2 linked regions of the Rattus norvegicus genome follow. The protein of the gene in region 1 interacts with the protein of each later gene in a pairwise test. Links are inferred from orthologs where the notes say so. Each region holds a gene or a part of one and is shown in the gene's direction. Other genes may lie near its edges.

What was found. The genes of interacting proteins can lie anywhere in the genome.
Region 2: the proteins of Hap1 (region 1) and Taf1d interact in a two-hybrid assay, tested with the Homo sapiens proteins (2 studies listed by BioGRID and IntAct). The link is inferred for Rattus norvegicus from reciprocal best matches to the Homo sapiens genes HAP1 and TAF1D.

What each region holds. Positions count from the first base shown.
Region 1 is NC_086028.1:85,773,116-85,783,051, reverse strand, and holds the end of Hap1 (huntingtin-associated protein 1), read left to right. Parts: intron 1-364; coding exon 365-495; intron 496-781; coding exon 782-844; intron 845-1,125; coding exon 1,126-1,260; intron 1,261-1,352; coding exon 1,353-1,444; intron 1,445-2,548; coding exon 2,549-2,931; coding exon of another isoform or gene 2,932-2,996; exon of another isoform or gene 2,997-3,308; coding exon 3,309-3,463; 3' UTR 3,464-3,516; exon of another isoform or gene 3,517-3,646; 3' UTR 3,647-4,785; downstream 4,786-9,936. UniProt on the Homo sapiens protein: Originally identified as neuronal protein that specifically associates with HTT/huntingtin and the binding is enhanced by an expanded polyglutamine repeat within HTT possibly affecting HAP1 interaction properties.
Region 2 is NC_086026.1:20,429,266-20,438,492, forward strand, and holds the end of Taf1d (TATA box-binding protein-associated factor RNA polymerase I subunit D), read left to right. Parts: intron 1-78; 5' UTR 79-99; coding exon 100-170; intron 171-896; coding exon 897-1,275; intron 1,276-2,330; coding exon 2,331-2,506; intron 2,507-2,817; coding exon 2,818-2,869; intron 2,870-4,080; coding exon 4,081-4,233; coding exon of another isoform or gene 4,234-4,290; exon of another isoform or gene 4,291-4,928; intron 4,929-4,950; coding exon 4,951-4,977; 3' UTR 4,978-5,530; downstream 5,531-9,227. Other genes in the region: Cep295 (centrosomal protein of 295 kDa), read right to left, coding at 8,838-8,890, 9,005-9,028, 9,118-9,227. UniProt on the Homo sapiens protein: Component of the transcription factor SL1/TIF-IB complex, which is involved in the assembly of the PIC (preinitiation complex) during RNA polymerase I-dependent transcription.

The sequences.
Region 1 (9,936 bases):
TCTCTTTCTCTATGTGGTGGGGCTTACAGAGCCAGTGGCTCCTTCCAGGACCCCTCCCAGACTTTGCAGCACTGAGTTGGTCAATGCTCCACCTGTGAGACCCTTTCCTCTGCTCCTCCCTTGACACTGGCTTCATCGTACCTCATACTATTTGGAATTACGAGTTCCCCTGTTTCTACTATGCTGGAACTTGGTGTGGACAAGGATCAGGTCTTACCAAGACATCCCCCAGTCCCCTGCTCTGTTTCAATAAGTGGTTCTTGAAGAAGAAGACCTGGGGGAAGAAGGTCAAAGGCCCTCAGGACCCCTGAGGGGTGTCGGATCCGTGGCTTAGAGCCTCCGCTGATCTGTGCTTGTCCTGTAGCTGAAGCCAGCCAGCAGATGGCAGAGCTATCCGAGGTGTTGGTGCTGAGGCTGGAAGGCTATGAGAGGCAGCAGAAGGAGATCACTCAGCTGCAGGCCGAGATCACCAAGCTACAACAGCGTTGTCAGTCTGTAAGCTGCTCAGCCAGGCCCAAAGCCCTTCCCTGTGTAGGCATCAGAGCTGGCAGAGATAACCAGCGAGCTATTCATCCAGCCCAGTCATGTCCCTAACCAAGTCCACACAGAGAGACTCCTACACGCTCCCAAAACCAGGCTGCATGACCCCCCACTTTAAGACTCCCATCCCTGTGACTTCCTAGGGGGACTGTCAGAGACTCTGATGAGGGAAGACTGTTCGGGTAGGAGGTACCAGAGTGGGAGGCCTTGGGGCCATCTCACACTTTACGGTTTCTTCCAGTATGGGGCCCAGACGGAGAAACTGCAGCAGCAGCTGGCCTCAGAGAAGGGAGTCCACCCAGAGGTGAGGTTCCATGGTTCCCAGATCTGGAAGGCAGGTCCCTGGGGACTACTTGGCTCTCCAGAGAAGACAAGCAACTTCCAGGAAGAGCTTTTCTGCCTTCCACCCTCACTGGCCTATGGCCCAGCAGATATCTGCTTATTTGAGGCCTGAATGGGGTAGAGATCAGGATCTTGTCCAGGGTCACCCAGAATCGCACTGTTTGGGTCTGGAACTGGGGTCTTTGCCTGTGCCTAAAGCAAGGGCAAGCAGAGTACCTGACTGGAAACCCCTGATCCTGACAGAGCCTGCGAGCTGGCTCCCACATGCAGGATTATGGAAGCAGGCCTCGTGAACGCCAGGAGGATGGGAAGAGCCATCGTCAGCGTTCCTCAATGCCTGCAGGTTCTGTCACCCACTATGGATACAGTGTGCCTCTGGTGAGGGTGCTCTTTTACCTCAGTGTGTCCCGTGTTTCAGCCCTGCTTTTTCTGTGAGTGTGGGGGTGGAATGTGTCCCCTCTTTGCTGTAGGATGCACTTCCAAGTTTCCCAGAGACACTGGCGGAGGAGCTCCGGACATCCCTGAGGAAGTTCATCACTGACCCTGCGTATTTCATGGAGAGGTGAGGAACTGGGATCCTCAGGCTTGCTCTGTTCAGCCATGCTCACTTAGGTTCACCCAGTGCCAACCTTCTCTGAGTGGAACATGGTTGACACAAATGTTCGGACCTCCATTGCTTTTCCTGGCCTCCTTATCCTGCCTCACTCACACTACCTGGCTCTGGCTTTTTTCCTTCCTTCCTTCCTTCCTTCCTTCCTTCCTTCCTTCCTTCCTTCCCTCCTCTTCCTCCTCTTCCTCTTCCTCTTCATCCTCTTCCTCCTCCTCTTCCTCCTCCTCCTCTTCCTCCTCCTCTTCTTTTTTGAGATCGGGTTTCTCTGCGTAGCTCTGGCTGTCCTAGAACTCACTCTGTAGATCAGGCTGGCCCTGAACTTAGAGATCTGCTTTCCTCTGCCTTCCCAGGACTGGGGCCACCATGCCTGGCTCCCTGTGACTTTTCAATATGTTTATGCCCCAGGGAATTTGCAGTTTGAGCCCCCTTAGTACACCCAAGGTCCTGTTCTCCGTTTAGGATTTAGTGAGATGGTTATGGGGAAGACATCAGACCTGGGGTAACCTGACTAAGAGATTCCCGACATCTGTCTTCACAGCCACTTGTTGTGGGTTCTGTGTTTGGAAAACTCTGGGAAATCTGTGTTCTTGGGGGAGCTCATCTGCTCGGTATTTTGGTCACGGCTGTGCCCTCTCCCTTCAGGCCTCACCTTTTCTTCACCTTTCTTTTCTTCACCTGACTATGATCTGAGAGGTGAACAGCCCAGCCATTAAAATACCCGATACCCAATCCCCGTTTAGCTCCTTTGTGTCCTTTTGGGCAAGTCATTTGACCCATCCAAGCCTTACTATAATGGATTTATTTCTATGACAACTGCTCTGGGATGAAATATCCCAGTTGCTCGTCTCCAGACAGGGAAGTGGAGAAGAAGGAACCTCTTTGGTGTCCATAACCCTCATTCCTCCTGCTGGGGGCAGGCATGGCTGGGTTTTGGAAGTCTCAAAAATGATCCTCTCTCCCCTCACTCCTAGCTGGGGCAGCCGAGGGGGACTGTCAGGGTCTGTGGAGTAGAGTGGGGTGGCACGTGAGGAAAGACGTCACTGTCTCCTTGCCTAGATGTGACACTCGCTGCAGAGAGGAACGAAAGAAGGAGCAGGGGACAATGCCACCCCCACCGGTGCAAGATCTCAAGCCGCCTGAAGATTTCGAGGCTCCAGAGGAGCTGGTTCCTGAGGAGGAGCTGGGGGCCATAGAAGAGGTGGGGACAGCTGAGGATGGGCCGGCAGAAGAGACAGAGCAGGCATCTGAGGAGACCGAGGCCTGGGAGGAGGTGGAACCGGAGGTGGACGAGGCCACAAGGATGAATGTGGTGGTCTCTGCCCTGGAGGCCAGCGGCCTGGGCCCTTCACACCTGGACATGAAGTATGTCCTCCAGCAACTGTCCAACTGGCAGGACGCCCATTCTAAGCGGCAGCAGAAGCAGAAGGTGGTCCCGAAAGGTGAGTGTTCCCGCAGAGGACACCCTCCTGCCAGTGGGACAAGCTACCGATCATCAACCCTATGAGAGGTGAGAGTAGGTGAGACCCCCCACCCCCAAGGGCTCACTTACCTCACCTTGGTCCCACTCGGTGTGCTGATTTGCATGGACTTTGCATACTATTTGCATAGTATTTACATACTTGCCTCCAGTCCCCCTTGGCTAGAACTGCTGCCTCAGTGTTTATTTATGCAAAATTTGCTTACAAGTCCAGCTATCCATCCACCTTCTTCCTGGGGGGGCTGAACTGGGAATCAGGGTTGGACTATACACTCCTTTGTACCTCAACTTCCTGTCTCTGCCCATCCTCTCCCTATCCCCAATTCCTCTACCCTCAAGACTCCCCAGCCCCGCAGCAGCAAACAAACATGGGGGGCGGGATCGTGGAGCAGCAGCCCATAGTGCCGACCCAGGACTCTCAGAGGCTGGAGGAGGACAGGGCCACTCACTCTCCCAGTGCCAGGGAGGAAGAGGGGCCTTCTGGGGCCACCTAGGCCTGGAACGAAGGCCTCTGCCAGCAAAGGCCACAGTTGGACCAATCCCCCGGGTGAGTGTGGGGCTCCCGCAGGGTGGTAGGGGCGGGTCAGGGTCTCCTCTGCCTATCTGGAAACCCCAGTTCCTAGGAGATGCTGTCCGTGAAATCAGATGATTTAGCATTGGATCTCTTTCTGTGTTAGCTCCTTTCGTCTTCTGGCCCTGTGGGTGGGTGGATGTGATTGTGCACCATTTATTAGAAGAGGAATCTGAAGTTCAGAGATCTGAGATGACTTGGCCAAGGTCATACAGCTAGGAGCAGATCTGAGCCGGTGTCTCTTGAGGACTGAAACCCTGGCCTGGTCTCACTGCCGTCCACACCTCCTCCTGCTCCCGTCCTTGAGCTCCACCTGAAGCTTTGGCAGCCTCCCTCATGTCGGTCTGTTGCCATTTTTGGGGGGCACCAGTGAGTGGAACATCACTGGCTGCAGCACAGTCAGATCATGCAGGTTGTAAGCTGAGTCAGCACACCCGTGGCTGACCACGGGAGACCGGGAGACCTGAGTAACGGCTAGCGGTGGCTTTCTGTTGTCTCCTGACCCGGCTGACTGGGTTTGAGGGTGATCTGTCTCCCGGTTCACCCCCTTCTCTTCCTGGCTTTGCTGTTTCTCAGCAGCCTGAAGAAGACCCTCAGACAGCTCGAGACCCCTCCTTCCACTGCCTGGCCAAGTCCGACCCTTCCTTGCTTTCCTCTGAGACAGGACCCCCACCCCCATGTCTGTCAGCAGTTCTCCCTCTGTCTTGATAGATCTTTCCCCTCTTGTAGGACAGGCTGAAAGAACCCCAGTCCCTCATTCTGAAACTGGGGCCAAAGCTGTGCCTGCTGGAGCCCCAGGGGGTGGAAGCAACCTGTGGGTAGATTGGTTGGTTACCAGACCCAGCTCTGAGATGGTGTGGGTGCGCACATCCCTAGGGTAGGCAGTTATTGGGGGGACCCTTTCTATCCCTTGAACCTCTCACGTAAAGGGACTTCCCCAGTCCTGGTTGGCTTTTGGAACCTGGTCCTTCTTGCTGTTTTTTACCCTTCCCCGTTTCTATTACTGCGTGTAACGTAAAGTGTATCTGAGTGAGGGTGGTGGGAACCCTCTGTCCAGTGCTGTCTCTGTCTCCTATGGCCTGTGAGTTTCCTTCTAGAGTTCTACTCTTCTCCACCTCTTTGCTCATACAGAGCTGTGGCCTTGGCGCCTGCCCTGCTTCTGCAGTGCTTCATTGTCTCGTAGCTTGTCAGCTTTTGTATTGATGTATGTGCCAATGTGGGAAATAAAGACCTTGTGAGATACCTGCCCTGTCTCAGTTGTGTTCCTTAGGGAAGGCGATGTGTGTGCGTGCATGTGTGTGTGTGTGTGTGTGTGTGTGTCTGTGTATGAGTGTATGAGTGTGTATGCCTGTGTATGAGTGTGTGTGTATGAGTGTGTGTGTATGGGTGTCAGTGTGTGTGTATGAGTGTGTGTGCCTGTATATGAGTGTGTGTATGTGAGGGTGTGTATGAGTGTGTGTGAGTGTGTATGTATGTGTGCCTGTGTATGTGTATATGTGTGAGTATGTGTGCCAATGTGTGTGTGTGTGCCTGTGTATGTGTGTATGTGTGAGTATGTGTGCCAGTGTGTGTGTGTGTGCCTGTGTATGTGTGTATGTGTGAGTATGTGTGCCAGTGTGTGTGTGTGTGTATGTGTGTGTGTGTGTGTGTGTGTGTGTGTGTGTGTGTGTGTACTGTTTGGGAACAGAGCTGCGGAGAGAAGACTGATTGATATCGGTTGACATGCCAATGACTTTGTACTAAGTATAAATGCATGTAACCCATGACAGTGAGGTGCCAGATGATGTGATGTGAATTTGAAGGTGGTGAAACTGAGACTCAGGCAGGTTCAGTAATCAGGGGTTGAAGAGCTGGTGGTAGTGCTGAGTTGAGCCCAGTTTTTGAAGCTGACTAGGCTCTCTTTCCTGACCCATCTGCCTCTGTCCCCGTGCTCTAGTTTAACAGATAAACTGTGTGTGTGTGTGTGGGGGGGTGGGTGGGTGCCATCTGGCTTAGGTCAAACACCCTAAACCTGGAATAGGAATAAGCAGGTCACTTTGAAGACACTGCAGAAAATAGTCTTAGGTAGTGGATAAGTAACAAGAAGCTAACATGGAGAAGTTTGAGACAAGGAAGCCCAGTGGTCTACCTGCTATGCTAAGCTTTTAACTTACAAGATTTGGGGGTGATTCTTCATCTCTAAAGCATAATGATCCACTAAATGTTCTTTTAAAAAGCTTAGGGGGTTGGGGATTTAGCTCAGTGGGGTTGGGGATTTAGCTCAGTGGCAGAGCGCTTGCCTAGGAAGCGCAAGGCCCTGGGTTCGGTCCCCAGCTCCGAAAAAAAGAACCAAAAAAAAAAAAAAAAAAAAAAACTTAGATCAGTTAGTTGGTGTGTTCAGTATATCTCTAGGAATCCCCCAAATCTTAAAACAGTTGCAATGTTCCTCCGAGTCTGAGTGGTGATTACACCCTTAATCCCAGCACTTGGGCGTCAGAGGCAGGAGGATCTCTACGAGTTCAAGGTCAGACTGGTCTACCTAGTAAGTTCCAGGACGGCCAGGGCTACATAAGGCCTATCTCAAAAACCCAAACAAAAAAAGTTTAAGTTTAAACAGACCTGTGAGAGCCAAGGTGAGAGCCAAGGCAAGTCTCACCTACAAGTCTTGTAGGAAGGGAAGTTGTCTACTTGCAGTTTATAGCACTATGTGGTAAACACGCAGGGTTGCCTCCCCACTCCCACCCCCCTTCTTTTTGAAACTGTGGCTGACTTGGAACTCAATATGTAGACCAGGCTGGCCTCAAATCCACAAAGAGTTGATTGTCTTTGCCTCTCGAGTAGTGGGATAAAGGCATGTGCTCCCCCTCCCCCCAACCCATCCCTCCAACTGGCCTTACTTTAAGCTACTAGCTGGTTATAGCATCTTAAAGAAAAAAACTAGGAACAGTAGAACATAGCCGCAATTTCGGCTCTCAGAGGCAGAAATGGGTAGATCTGGAGTTCAAGGCTTGTTTGGGCTCTACAGCCAGACCTTATTATCTCAAGCAAAAAGCAGAGAGGTTGCCCAGCGGGTAGGAGTGTTTGCTGTGCAAGCCTGAATACCTGGAATTCCCAGCACCATGGAGACCAGGGGCTTTGCTGGGGCTTTGGGGCTATGAGTTTAGTTCAAGGTTGACTGAGAGGCTCTGTCTTTAGGCATAAGGCAGAGATTATGAAGCAGGACACTGATAGCCTTCTCTGGTCTCTGAGTGCATGGACGGATGCGTGCACCTGCATATACACACACGCACCACACATATACATACTAACACTCCCAAGAAAAGGACAACCAGACCCAATGTGTACTGTGACATGTATGTGTACATGTGTATACACACACGTGTATACATAAATAAATGTAATGACTTGTTGGGTATCGTGGTGAATGCCTTTAATCCCACCACTTGGGAGGCAGAGGCAGGTGGATCTTGAGGTGGAGGTCAGCCTGGTTTCCATAGCGGCAGGTTCTAAGTCAGCCAGAGCCATACTGTGAGACCTTGTCTCAAAAACAAACAAAACCAAAAACACAAACCAAGGGTAGCCAGAGGACAAATGGTATAGAATGGTATAGGTGGTGCTTGTCCATCCAGAACCCTAAATGATCCTTGTAATGCCTTCCCTCTATTGTTCTGCATTCTCCTCCCTGAGAGCCCTCCAGTGGTCCACCTTGTCTTCCTCATGGGACGGCCTGAATCTTCACTTCTGAGTAATCTGAACCTTGGTCCCACTGCCTTTGTCAGGCCAGGTCGTTCAAATTTCCTACTTATGTTTATTTTGTGACTGGAAACACAGAGCCTCTAGACATGACTCTTCTTGTCCTGAGGCGAGGCTTTCCCTCATGGAAAGCGGGGACAATGACCTGTAGGTTCTTAGTTCTTTCTAAACCCACTTTATTTAGGCTTCTAGAATGCTTCAATCCCCCTTCTAGCCCACTGACCAGAGAGGTAGGGAAGAAGAAGGCTTATAGGAATGGGAGTTGTGGAACCTGTTTAGACGTAGTTCTTTGGGGGCGTTTCCACTCTTTGTTGCCAGGGTAACAGCAGTCCAGTCCAATAGCAAACAGCAAACATGAATCAGTAGCAGCGGCTCGATCCAGCAGAAACTTCGAGGTTGTGCAGAGTCGGTATGAGTCAGCAGAGACGACAAGTATCAGTGGGAATACCGTGAGAAGTTCCTTGCTGCTTTTCTCTCTACAGAATGAAGGCCGGCAAAGACCAGGGAAGCGTTGCAAGGCATAACAGTGCAAGAGCATCCTTTCATGATCTGTGTGACTTCATGATCTTAGACTCTTTCAAACGTCTTGCACCCTCACAAGTGTCTGCTTCAGCCAAACGTCCTCTCCTGTGTCTGTTTCAGGAAAACATCCTCTCACTAGACAGCTTCCAGAAAAATGTCACATAACCTCTCACAAGACAGATCCCAGAGAAACATCCCGTGACACAACTGAGCTTCCAAAGAAACCAGAAATATCCATTTCAGTAACCTCTGATAGTCCCTAACCTTTCCTTTGTCCTGCAGATAGGAAGTCCCAAACATGGCCAAGAAGCAGCTGTGGTACTAGGGACCCAGGGCCTCACACGTACTTACAATGTGCCCAACCATAGAGCTACATCCCTAGTTCTAGTGTTGGGTTCAGGGTAGAATCCAAGAAAACTCACTTCAGATATGGAGGCTTAAAAATGGGAGCTTATTTTCTGAGCACTCAGGGAGGTGGCCAGTTGAGGATCTGAACTATGTCCCCGAGGGGAAGCTATATTGCATTTTCAAGAATGGGAACGCAAAGCCAGGAGGGAGCTGGGGGGAGCCTCAGTGTTATCCAATTGCATTTTGACAATATGGGTTAAGCAAGGGAGTACCTATTGGAGACTGGGCTGTATCCAGGGCACCTGGCTTCAAGGTCCTTAATTCATTGTCCTTGACATTAGCCTCAGAGCTCAGAGTGATACGGGGACAAAGGAGTGGGTCAGCTGTATGGAGTTAGGGCATAACAGGCGACTGGTTATGTATTTTTATAACTTATACACCTTAGTTTAGATAACAGCAATTTCTTTTTTTTTCTTTTTTCTTTTTTTTTTTTTTACTGGATAACAGCAGACAATTAAAACATTTGGAGAAGTGGGATAGGCATTTGTTCCTAGGACTGGGAACACAAACTTGTTTGACCCCACCAGCAAGATGGAGAAGTTGTCCCTGAGATAGCAGAACTCAGACAACTGTTCACACAGAAGCTATTCAGCTATTGGGAAGTCCCTAGCTTCCCTAGGGCCTGGGAGCTTGAATTTAGTTTCTGAAAATGAAATGGTAGTAATTACAATACTTAGAATAAATTTCTTTCTTTTTTTTCTTTTCTCTTTTTTTTTTTTTTTTTTGGAGCTGGGGACTGAACCCAGGGCCTTGCGCTTCCTAGGTAAGCGCTCTACCACTGAGCTAAATCCCCAGCCCCCACTATATCCATTTTAAAGGTTGCTGGGGACTGAAGCCAAGAGTGTGCATATTAGGTAAACACTCTACTAACTGAACTACATTGCCCCGCTCCAGTTAGCTTTTTTCTAAGAAAAAAAATGACACTGTGCCTATTCATTCCAGACAAGGAAAAAAGTGACAATACCACTAAAGTCCCATTTGGTGAATCCATGGGTTTACTGGGGTTATGTACGAGAGTTTAGGTTAGGGGCTACTTATAGGAACAGAGGTGACTCAAGGGTAGGTGCATCACTGAAAACCCATCCAAGTACGATGACTCATGAGACTGGGACCCTGAAATTCACGGAACAACTTGGAAGCAGCTCAACAGGGTAGAGCTGTCTTCTAGAAAGCTTAGCAGGACAGCCTCTTCCAGCCTCAGCTGCTCTGTGTATCCTTAGAAGTCCTTACTGGTTAGGGGCCTTGTACATCCGGTCAGTTTCAGGAACTTCCTGAGGCTTGTCAGTTGTTTACTTCTTTTTTTTTTTTTTCGGAGTTGAGGACCGAACCCAGGGCCTTGAGCTTGCTAGGCAAGCGCTCTACCACTGAGCTAAATCCCCAACCCCTAGTTGTTTACTTCTTGAATCTTTTTGTTTTTTTAAAAAAAAACATTTATTTATTTATTTAATGTATATGAGTACACTGTCACTGTCATCAGACACACCAGAAATGGGCATCAGATCCCATTTGTGAACCACCATGTGTGGTGGCTGGGAATTGAACTCAGGACCTCTGGAAGAGCAGCTAAGGCATCTCTTCAGTCCTGTTTGTTTTTAGAGATAGGATTTCTCTATGTAGCCTTGGCTGTCCTGGAACTCTCTCTATAGACAAAGCTGGCCTCAAACTCACAGAGATTCTTCTGCCTATGCCTCCCAAGTGCTGAGATTAAAGGAGTATAACACCATGCCCATTGAC
Region 2 (9,227 bases), on another chromosome or scaffold:
TAGTGGTAAGGAGTGTGTTGAACTTTCTATTAGAATGCTGTGTATGTGAAGGGGCATCATTGAAATTTGTAATTGCAGAAAACTGGGTAAAGCAAAGTGATGGCTCAATCAGAGGTGGATTCTGTTGACTGTGTGACATCGGATAGAGATGGGGACATTGGAAATCAAAGGTAGGTAAACTATAGATTCAGTCCAAATGTTCAATTTATTTTGAGGAGGGTCTCAATAAATAGAGCCATGGCTGACCTCACCCAGATAATCCTGCCTATCTACCTCCCAAGAGTTGGGATTAAAGGCATGTCACCACACCCTGCAGTCCAGCATATTTGAGTGCTGGGGAGTTTTATTTGTATTGCTTGTCCATAAAACATGGAAAAGCTGAAGATTAACATATTATTAGCTTGACTAATCGTTAAAAAAACTGTCTTGTGGGGCTGGAGAGACGGCTCAGCGGTTAAGAGCACTGACTGCTCTTCCAGAGGTCCTGAGTTCAATTCCCAGCAACCACATGGTGGCTCACAACCATCTGTAATGGGATCTGATGCCCTCTTCTGGTGTGTCTGAAGACAGCTACAGTGTGTTCATATGCATAAAATAAATAAATCTTTTTAAAAAACTGTCTTGTTTTATATAAAATAGTAAGGACACGGTGGTTAACTGGTACTGAGTTCATTCTGAAATGCTGGGTATGATTTTAGGGGATTGTACTTGGAACATGTACTTTTAACATGTTTTTTAGAGTGGATTGCGTGTCTATTCTGGTGCTCTTAGGTGTGGGAGCTGTGAAACTGAAGGGATGCATGATTGTGAGCTGCCTGGGAGAATGGCCTTGCCACTCCTGGGGGATTAATTATATCTAGTGGTAATTCAGTAATGCAATTTAACTTTTGTTTTAGTGATGACTCATCCAATAGCAGCTTATTTAAAACACAGTGTGTTCCTTCACCTACAAGAAAGCAAAGAATCCCTACTGTGAAATGTGTTCCTTCACTTGCAAGTGTTGAAACAGATTCATCAAGTGACTCTTCTCTAGAACCAAGGCCTTTGACTTTAAAGGCTATTTTTGAAAGATTTAAGAAAAAGAAAAGGAAAAAGAGGAAAAAGAGAAAATATAAGCCAAAGTTAAGACGACAAGGAAGACCATCTGGAACGAGGAACATTAGAAGGTCACAAATAGATGCAAAACAAATTAAAGACAAAGGAGCTGTGTTTCCATTCTTAGAATCTGAAAGTGGAAGAAAGACTTTACCTTGGAAGAAAATTTTAACATATGAGGTGAGTGATTTTTTTTTTTAATGTAGGTGAATACATTAAGTAGGATGGAATGGTTTGTTGGTCATTCTTTTTTCTTTTAAAAGATTGATTATATATAAATACACTGTAGCTGTCTTCAGACACCAGAAGGCATAGGATCCCCATTTCAGATGGTTGTGAGCCACCATGTGGTTGCTGGAATTTGAACTCAGGACCTCTGGAAGAGCAGTCAGTGCTCTTAACCACTGAACCGTCTCTCCAGCCCTTGTTGGCCATTCTTAATTGTCTGAGGGACACCTGGAACAGATCTATGCAAAGTGCTCCATTCTTCATCTCACCTGTATCACTAGTGAGAGAAATAACCACAACCATTATTTATCAGTGTCACACAGATTAAGGTAGTTGTACTCCAAGTTTCCTTATACAGAGTCCCTTCAAACAACTGAAGCATATCATACCCAACTTTTTTTTCAGCAGTAGTGAAACGTGACATTACAAGGTGAGCAGGTATGGAATCACTTCTTAAGGCCCAGTTTTTGAAGAACCTAAGAAAGGTGGAGAATAGGACCATGAAGGAAGCTGCTGCTCATGTGTACTGTTAGCCTAGAGCCCTTGCTTGTAATGGTAATGCCCACAATCTAGGCAACCACTATCCAAAAATAAAGCAGTGTCTTGGTTGAGGATCCATTCTCAGGTTATTCTGTGTCAAATTGACAGTTAGGTTAACTAGGACAAGAGCAGGGGAGAAAACCCAAGTAGCCAGCTACTCAGGTTTTTCAGGTGTTTGAGCATTAAATGTTAAATGATTAGAATGGTTGAATTAGTGTCTGCTTTGCGTTTTTCTTTGTGTGTGCACATGCAGACATAGCATCTTCCTATTCACCTTGTTCCTATGTACTGTCTTCACTCCCCAAGTCTGGAACCGTCATGCACAGAGCATTTACATGGTTTCTGTGCATTCAGATCTGGTCCCTTTGATGAACAGCAAGCCATTGTCCAGCCCCTTGGTATAGTGTCAAGCTTGATTAAGTATTTGATGTTTTAATATTTAAGGAATTGTGTTTTCTAACTTGCAGCAAGCAGTTGCAAGAGGATTTTTTCACCACATTGAAAAACTCAAGTATGAACACCACCTTAAGGAATGCTTGAGCCAAATGCATGCTGGGGAAGATTTAGAAAAGGAAGACTTTGACAGCCGTAGACACAAGTACATGGATGATGATGGTCCGCTTTCTCCTATTGAAGAGCCGTCGTAAGTTGGATTTGTCCATGGAACTTGTAGTTCTCTAAGCTCATTTAAAGACAGTCTCACTACTGTATAGCTGGCTAGGGCTGAACACACATGTACCGAGTGCTGGGATTAAAGGCAAGTGCCATCTATAAAATGAGTATCTTATAAGATTCTGCAATAGTAATCATAACTTCTAGTAAATTTAGGATTGTTTACTCTGAGGTATGTGCATAGGACATCAGTTTGGGAAGGTAGTGGTTTTCTTTGGTTTCAGCGATATCCGAATACTAGGTGACTAATGACTAAATGGCTCATTTCATTTCATGTTACAGAACTGAAGATGAAGCAACAGATCCTCAGTCTGAATGTGATATTAAGTTGGTTGTAAGTGGCCGAGTTTTATTATCTCATTTACGGAATGTAGAAGTTATATACTATTTGGAAATTTCATTTAAACTTTTTTTTTTTTTTTTTTTGGTTCTTTTTTTCGGAGCTGGGGACCGAACCCAGGGCCTTGCGCTTCCTAGGCAAGCGCTCTACCACTGAGCTAAATCCCCAGCCCCTCATTTAAACTTTTAAGAGTGAAACTGCTTACTATTTAGGATATTTGGTACCGAGGGCTTTTTATGTTTTTGTGGCTCTTCCTCTTAGCTCCAAGTATTGGGGTTCAGAGCCTTGCCTGCATTAATGACAAGGCATACTGCTGAGTTATAACTCAAGCTTTGAATATTTGTGTATAGGGTATGTATGTATCTGCATGTTGGTATGAGTATACATTTATGGAGTCCAGAATTTGGTCTGGCCTCTTGACCACAACCTAGTGGATTAACCTATAGCAAAGTTTTTGCTCTGCTATTACTGGCTTACAAAATGGTGCCCGTGCCTGGCTCCAATATTAACACTAAAAATTCACCAGGTGTATGTTGGTGTCTGGGTAGGCTAGAAGAGGTGCAGTTGGATCCCTTAAACTGGAATTTTGGTGCACATTGTGGGTGCATAGAATTTTCTTAGTCCTTTGCAGTAAGAAAAGAAGACAATGTTGTGGATTATTTTTGTATTTTTGTTTTTATAAGTGTGAGTGTTCTATCTGAATGTATACCTGATTAATGGAAGAGGGCACCAGGTCACATTACAGATGGTTATGAGCCACCATGTTGTTGTTGGGAATTGAAGGCAGGACTCCTGAAAGAACAGCCACTGCTCTTACTTAACTGCTGAGGCATCTCTCTAGCCCTGTGAAAATCCAGTGTGCTTAGCCACTGAACCATCTCTAGCTCCTGATAAAATAACATTTAGCAAGTCTGGTGTGCAGTCAAATGAGAAAATAGTGCTGGTGTAGTGAGGAATAGATTTATACTTGTGGGCTGAAAGATGACTCAGTACTGGGTTAAGAGCACTGACTGCTCTTCCAGAGGTCCTGAGTTCAAGTCCCAGCAACCACATGGTGGCTCACAACCATCTGTAATGGGACTGATGCCCACTTCTGAAAGCACCTACACTGTATATAATAAATAGATAATAAATTTAAAAAAAAAGATTTATACTAACCCACAGTCAGTGGTGAGTTTAGTTACTAATTTTTCTTTTAAATGCAGGAAGACAGTTGCTTTATAATAAGTACAGAATTCCCAAGGAAGAGAAACTTAGAACAAGAAAAGATTAAGAAAGAATCTGCATTCTCTAAAAAGAGCAAAGCCAAGGATGCCACACAGAGAGGGAACAGGAGGTCCTGGAAAGGAGGTGAACATGTGAGTATCGAGGAAGGTAAAGAGCACGGGATTGTCTTGTGTATGTCAAGAAGATGAAGGAACAAAAATCACTGAACAATCTGGGAAAGAAAATAAACTTGCTGGGGGGAGCTAGCAAAACACTTGGGAAAGCTCTTTTCAGTGCTGATTTCAGAGTAAGAAATCCTTCCTATAGGGATTATTCTATTACAGCAAGTACGACTTTTCTGGAAGGAAAATGCTAACAAAAATCCTATATGTGGCTAGTTTCAAGAACTCCAGCCTCTTCAGTGCTTAGCCCAAACTAACTTATAAAAAAGAATTACTTCATATTTGTGTATTTTGCCTACATGCATATGTGTGGAGTATGCACCATGGCCTGTGGATCTCAAGTTACAGGATGGTAATTAGCTATTGTGGGGGTGATGTGAGCTGAACCACAATTCTATCTACAAGAGTGTTCTTACCTTGTAACACTGGCCTTGTGCCAGTATATACATACAGCTTTGTTGGCTAGCACTTGTGTTTGTTTTTGTTCAGCTGTTGGACAAAGGCAGGTTGACAGGTGCAAAAAACAAATCCTCTTTTGCAACCCAGAACTCATTGTTCAGTATGAGTTTTGATACATACAAGAAGGAATATAAGCACAACGGTGTTACTGATGAGGCTGTTTCTAGCAATGTTCTGTGTGATTTATCCTATAAAGGTAATGATAGATGAATATTCCTTTCTTTAAAGGCTTGCCTTCATTCTGAAGTCAGTTAAAAGATGCCCATGAATGGATGTTTGTTTCAGTGTTGTAAGTAGCATGTCAATTTACATCTTCACAGTATGTTAGCTTGAAGTAAGTGATGCTATTTCTATGAAAGTTTTAGAGTACTCCAATCCTTAGGAAATCCTAGAACATTAGAATCAATAATTTGAACTGAGATAAGTAAAGAAGGCTATAAGGTCTTATACTCAATTTATAATATTATAAACTTTTCTCAAGCATGGTTTATAAATTATAACAAATTTGTAACATCACAAATAATAATGTTTGAAAAGTATGAGTTAACTAAAATAGGTACTATTCTAAAAAATCAGGTTGCCCATAAGGCTCTTCATGAAAATTCAGTTTTATGCTGGCACTTAAATTATCTTTAATCTGCCTGATGTAATTGTCTCTGAGCCTTACTGCCTTTTTGCTAAATGAAGGCCTAGTCTTGGAAGCTTCTAGCCTCTGCACAATCTGATTTAGGCCTAGAATGTTTTCAGCCTCTGAGACTTAACTGCTGAATAAATAATCTCACACTTTTCTTGTTCTTACTGAATTTTTGTCTGGTTTAACAAAGCTGTTGTGGTTCATACTCTAACAAGGTGACTGATTTAGTCTGACTTCTGCCTCAAACTACCTTGCAATTTGTTCTGATATTTTGGGCTCCTCTCTCTTGGCATATTCTGTATTTACCTGTGTCTAGCTTGTTCTTTCTGCACCTGTCTTTAAATCTGTCATTTTGTCTGCCACTCAATTAGACTTCTTTTGAACATGGGTTGTTTCTAGTTATGTATGTGCTAAGGGTATGTCAGTATTCCAGCCAGCGTAACCATGTTGCTGGATTAAAATCCCTGTACAGTAAAAGTGAGTTTGAGAGCTCCGGACTGTAAGAATGTATAACCTTAAGCTTAAGCTAGGCAAATCTCCTGAGATTACTTTGTGATTTCCTAAGTTCCTATTAATAGACGTCCATAAAAGGTAGCTGGAGAGAGAGCTTCATGATTGTTGGATGCTTTTGAGGTCTATCCCGATGGGGCTTCGTTAGTAGCCACACATCGTTGGAAACGCCTCATATAGTAACTTGTGGTTTTGCTTGACTCGCAGGACTGTTTGTTAGGTCTGTGGGAAGGAACTACAAGACAGCTAACAAAGTACAAAACTGATGTGCAATTTTGGTTTTGTTTCTAGAAGCACTGGCATTTCCTTCATAAAGATTAGGATTCTGAGTGTTAGGTGAGTTTTAGTGACTCTGCAATTTTGGGGAAGTATAGCTACAGTTCAGATGATGAATTAAACTGTTCAACTGCTGTATGATACAGACATGAACTAAAATTTAATTCTGACAGAACTGGTTACAGGTGTTAGGTTGGAGTAAACTTTAACTGTAGTTTCTAATAAAGTCATATGTACTGTTCTCCAGGAATGGACATGAAAGACTCTACAGAGATGTTGGTAAGTAAGTATAAAACTAGATTTCTGTTGGGTTTTAATATGATAAATTAAAAATCTCCAGGGGTAATGTGTAAGTTCTCAGCAAGAACATTTGCTCTGTGTGTACAAGCTAGGAAGTACTTTCTTGGGCTGGAGAGATGGTTCAGTGGTTAGGAGCACTGACTGCTCTTCCAGAGGTCCTGAGTTCAAATTCTAGCAACCACACGGTGGCTCACAACCATCTGTTAATGGGGATCTGGTGTGTCTGAAGACAGCGACAGTGTACTCAGAGACATAAAATAAATAAATCTTTTTTAAAAAAGTACTTTGTGCTAGGCTAGTTCATCTTTTAGATTCCAGATTAAAATGATTAGAGAAATGCTCATTCAGTAGGGATATTGAGTTCTTTTTAAAAGAAACCATGTACTAGTTCCACACCTGTAATTATAGGAGTCTGATGTGGGAAGCAGGGAAACTTCTCAGAAAATAAAATTCTTGGTTAGGTAAATGGCACAGTGGATATATAGTTCAAAACCGTAGCAACCAGGTAGATACGGTAGCTGAATCTGGAAGTTCTGACTTTAGTGAGAAACTCTAAGGTGGATAGTGTGATCAAGGAAGGTAATCAATCATCAGTATGTGTGCATGAATGTATGTACAAAGAACATTAAATCTTTTGATTTGAGCACTTTTTCCATTTGTGGGGGATTTTGGCTGAGATGGAACTCTAAATTTCCTGTCCACCTTTAGCCCCCTCAGAATGTGAATTTATGTTAACATTTAAAAAGTTAGCTTCTTTATTAGCACAGGGATTGAGAGTGCTATAGAGACTTTGCACTGCATGGTATCTGCACTCAGCAGTTCTTTCCTGTTGGGTGTTCAAAAGACAGTGCGATAGAAATTCATTATCTGGCATCGTTGGTTTCTTGGCTTTGTGCATGTTAAACCTGGTATTTCTAATGATACAGTTTATTTCATATGTACATATTTCTTCTGGATGTGGGTTCTGGGGAATAATTGGTCTTTAAAACTTGGTTGCCTGCTGAGTGAACCATTCCTTTTCTTCCTAGGGCGTCACAAGGGAAACCTACCTTAAAATGGTAAGACATTTTTCTGTTTCTAGCTGTCTTTACTTGAGTAGATGACACGTATGAGACTCAAGAACTAAGCCTCATTGTACATAAAAATGGGCATTGTTGTTGGCCAGTGTCCAGTGTCAATGTGGCTACATTAAGATACAGGTCATGCTTCCATCACAGCAGATTAAATGACAGTGGTGACAATGAGACCTGCAACATTTGTCTACTACCCTCCAGTGAAGACATGTCAATTCATTTTATATTTTCTTATGACCAATCTTACAGGTTTTTAAAGCTAATTGAAGAAGGGTCCCTAAATTAAAGTAAATTGAAGAAATCCACAAATCTTCTGGTAAGATGTGGACTTTGAAACCTTGTGAGATGATAATACTGAAATTCACTGCTAAGATTTGAAAAAAACAGTACTACCATAAATGATGTTGTGATGATGGGCAAAATGTTCAACTGCTCTGAATGGGCTGAATGAAAGTAGCCTTTCTGAACATCTGTGTTGGGTAGATAGATTCTGTGTATGCAGACCTGCTGACTGACTCCCCTAAACTGTGGGAATATTCTTTGAATCTGGCATCATGTAGAATTAAAAATTTTAATTCTTTGAAACATATTTTCTCCCACAGGCTAAGAACTTAGAAGTTGCCAATGACTGTTGGAAAAGACAGATAAAAGAGGCAAGTAATAGCCATTTATTTTTACAATGGTCATTACCAAGGCTTTTAGAATGCAGTTTCTCATTTGCTGTGGACATGACCATAAAGAAAAATTCCCATTAGGTTTTCCATATGCTACTTGAGTAGCACTTAACCTGTTGGGAACATTTTTTGAGCAAATCTTTATCCAGTTGTTACTTTATATGTAGATGGTTCTAGAATACTGACTACTCATCCCATTACTCCCATGTTCTTATTATGCAGGGCTAAAAATAAAAAGCACAACTGGATGCCCTTGAGGAAAGGTATGTGTATGGGAAGCGGGTAGCGAAGGTCATTTCAAAGAGGGCTTGGTGGCTGTAAAACCAAAAGCTCTTAACGCTGTGACCAAAGATTGATGTTCTTCACAGAGCAGACCATGCACTTTGTGATAGTGCTGTTTTTCTGAGAAGATAACATGCATTTCCCTGAATCACAATTTATCATTAATTTCATTTTGTCTCTTTTAGGGCTATTTTCAGAGTGCCTGGATGGACAGCAAAGAAATCAAACCAACCACTTAAATAAAAATTTATTGACAATAAATAATTTTATACATTAAAAAAGAACCCTTAACACAATTTGTAGGAAGTCAGTATGTATTTTTGGCTTGACTTGTGCTTTCTGTAGAAAAACAGCTTGTCTTCATACTTATATACACTGGCTCCTGTTTCTCTTTGCTGTTTCATCTCCACTAACAGCCTCTGTAAGAGAAATTTGTGTAATTAGATAGGCACATGTAGCAAAACACTAGAAGCAAGCAAAAAAAGCCTTTTGGTACACGAGGGCTCAGGTAGCCTTTCTTCCTTGACACTAACCTTTCAGGTGGCTCAAGGATGAACCTGAAAAGCAGTGATTAATGGGTTGAGTCTAAAAAATACTTAAGCTTAAATACTTAAATCTCTACTGTAGATCATACAGTAGAACATACTTGTAGATAGCTTCTCTTTGGATACTTTGGCTTGAGGGAGCGGAGTTTTATTCCAGATCTCTCTCTGTCTCTGGTAGGATCGTTCCATAAATGTCTTTTTTCTTTTCATG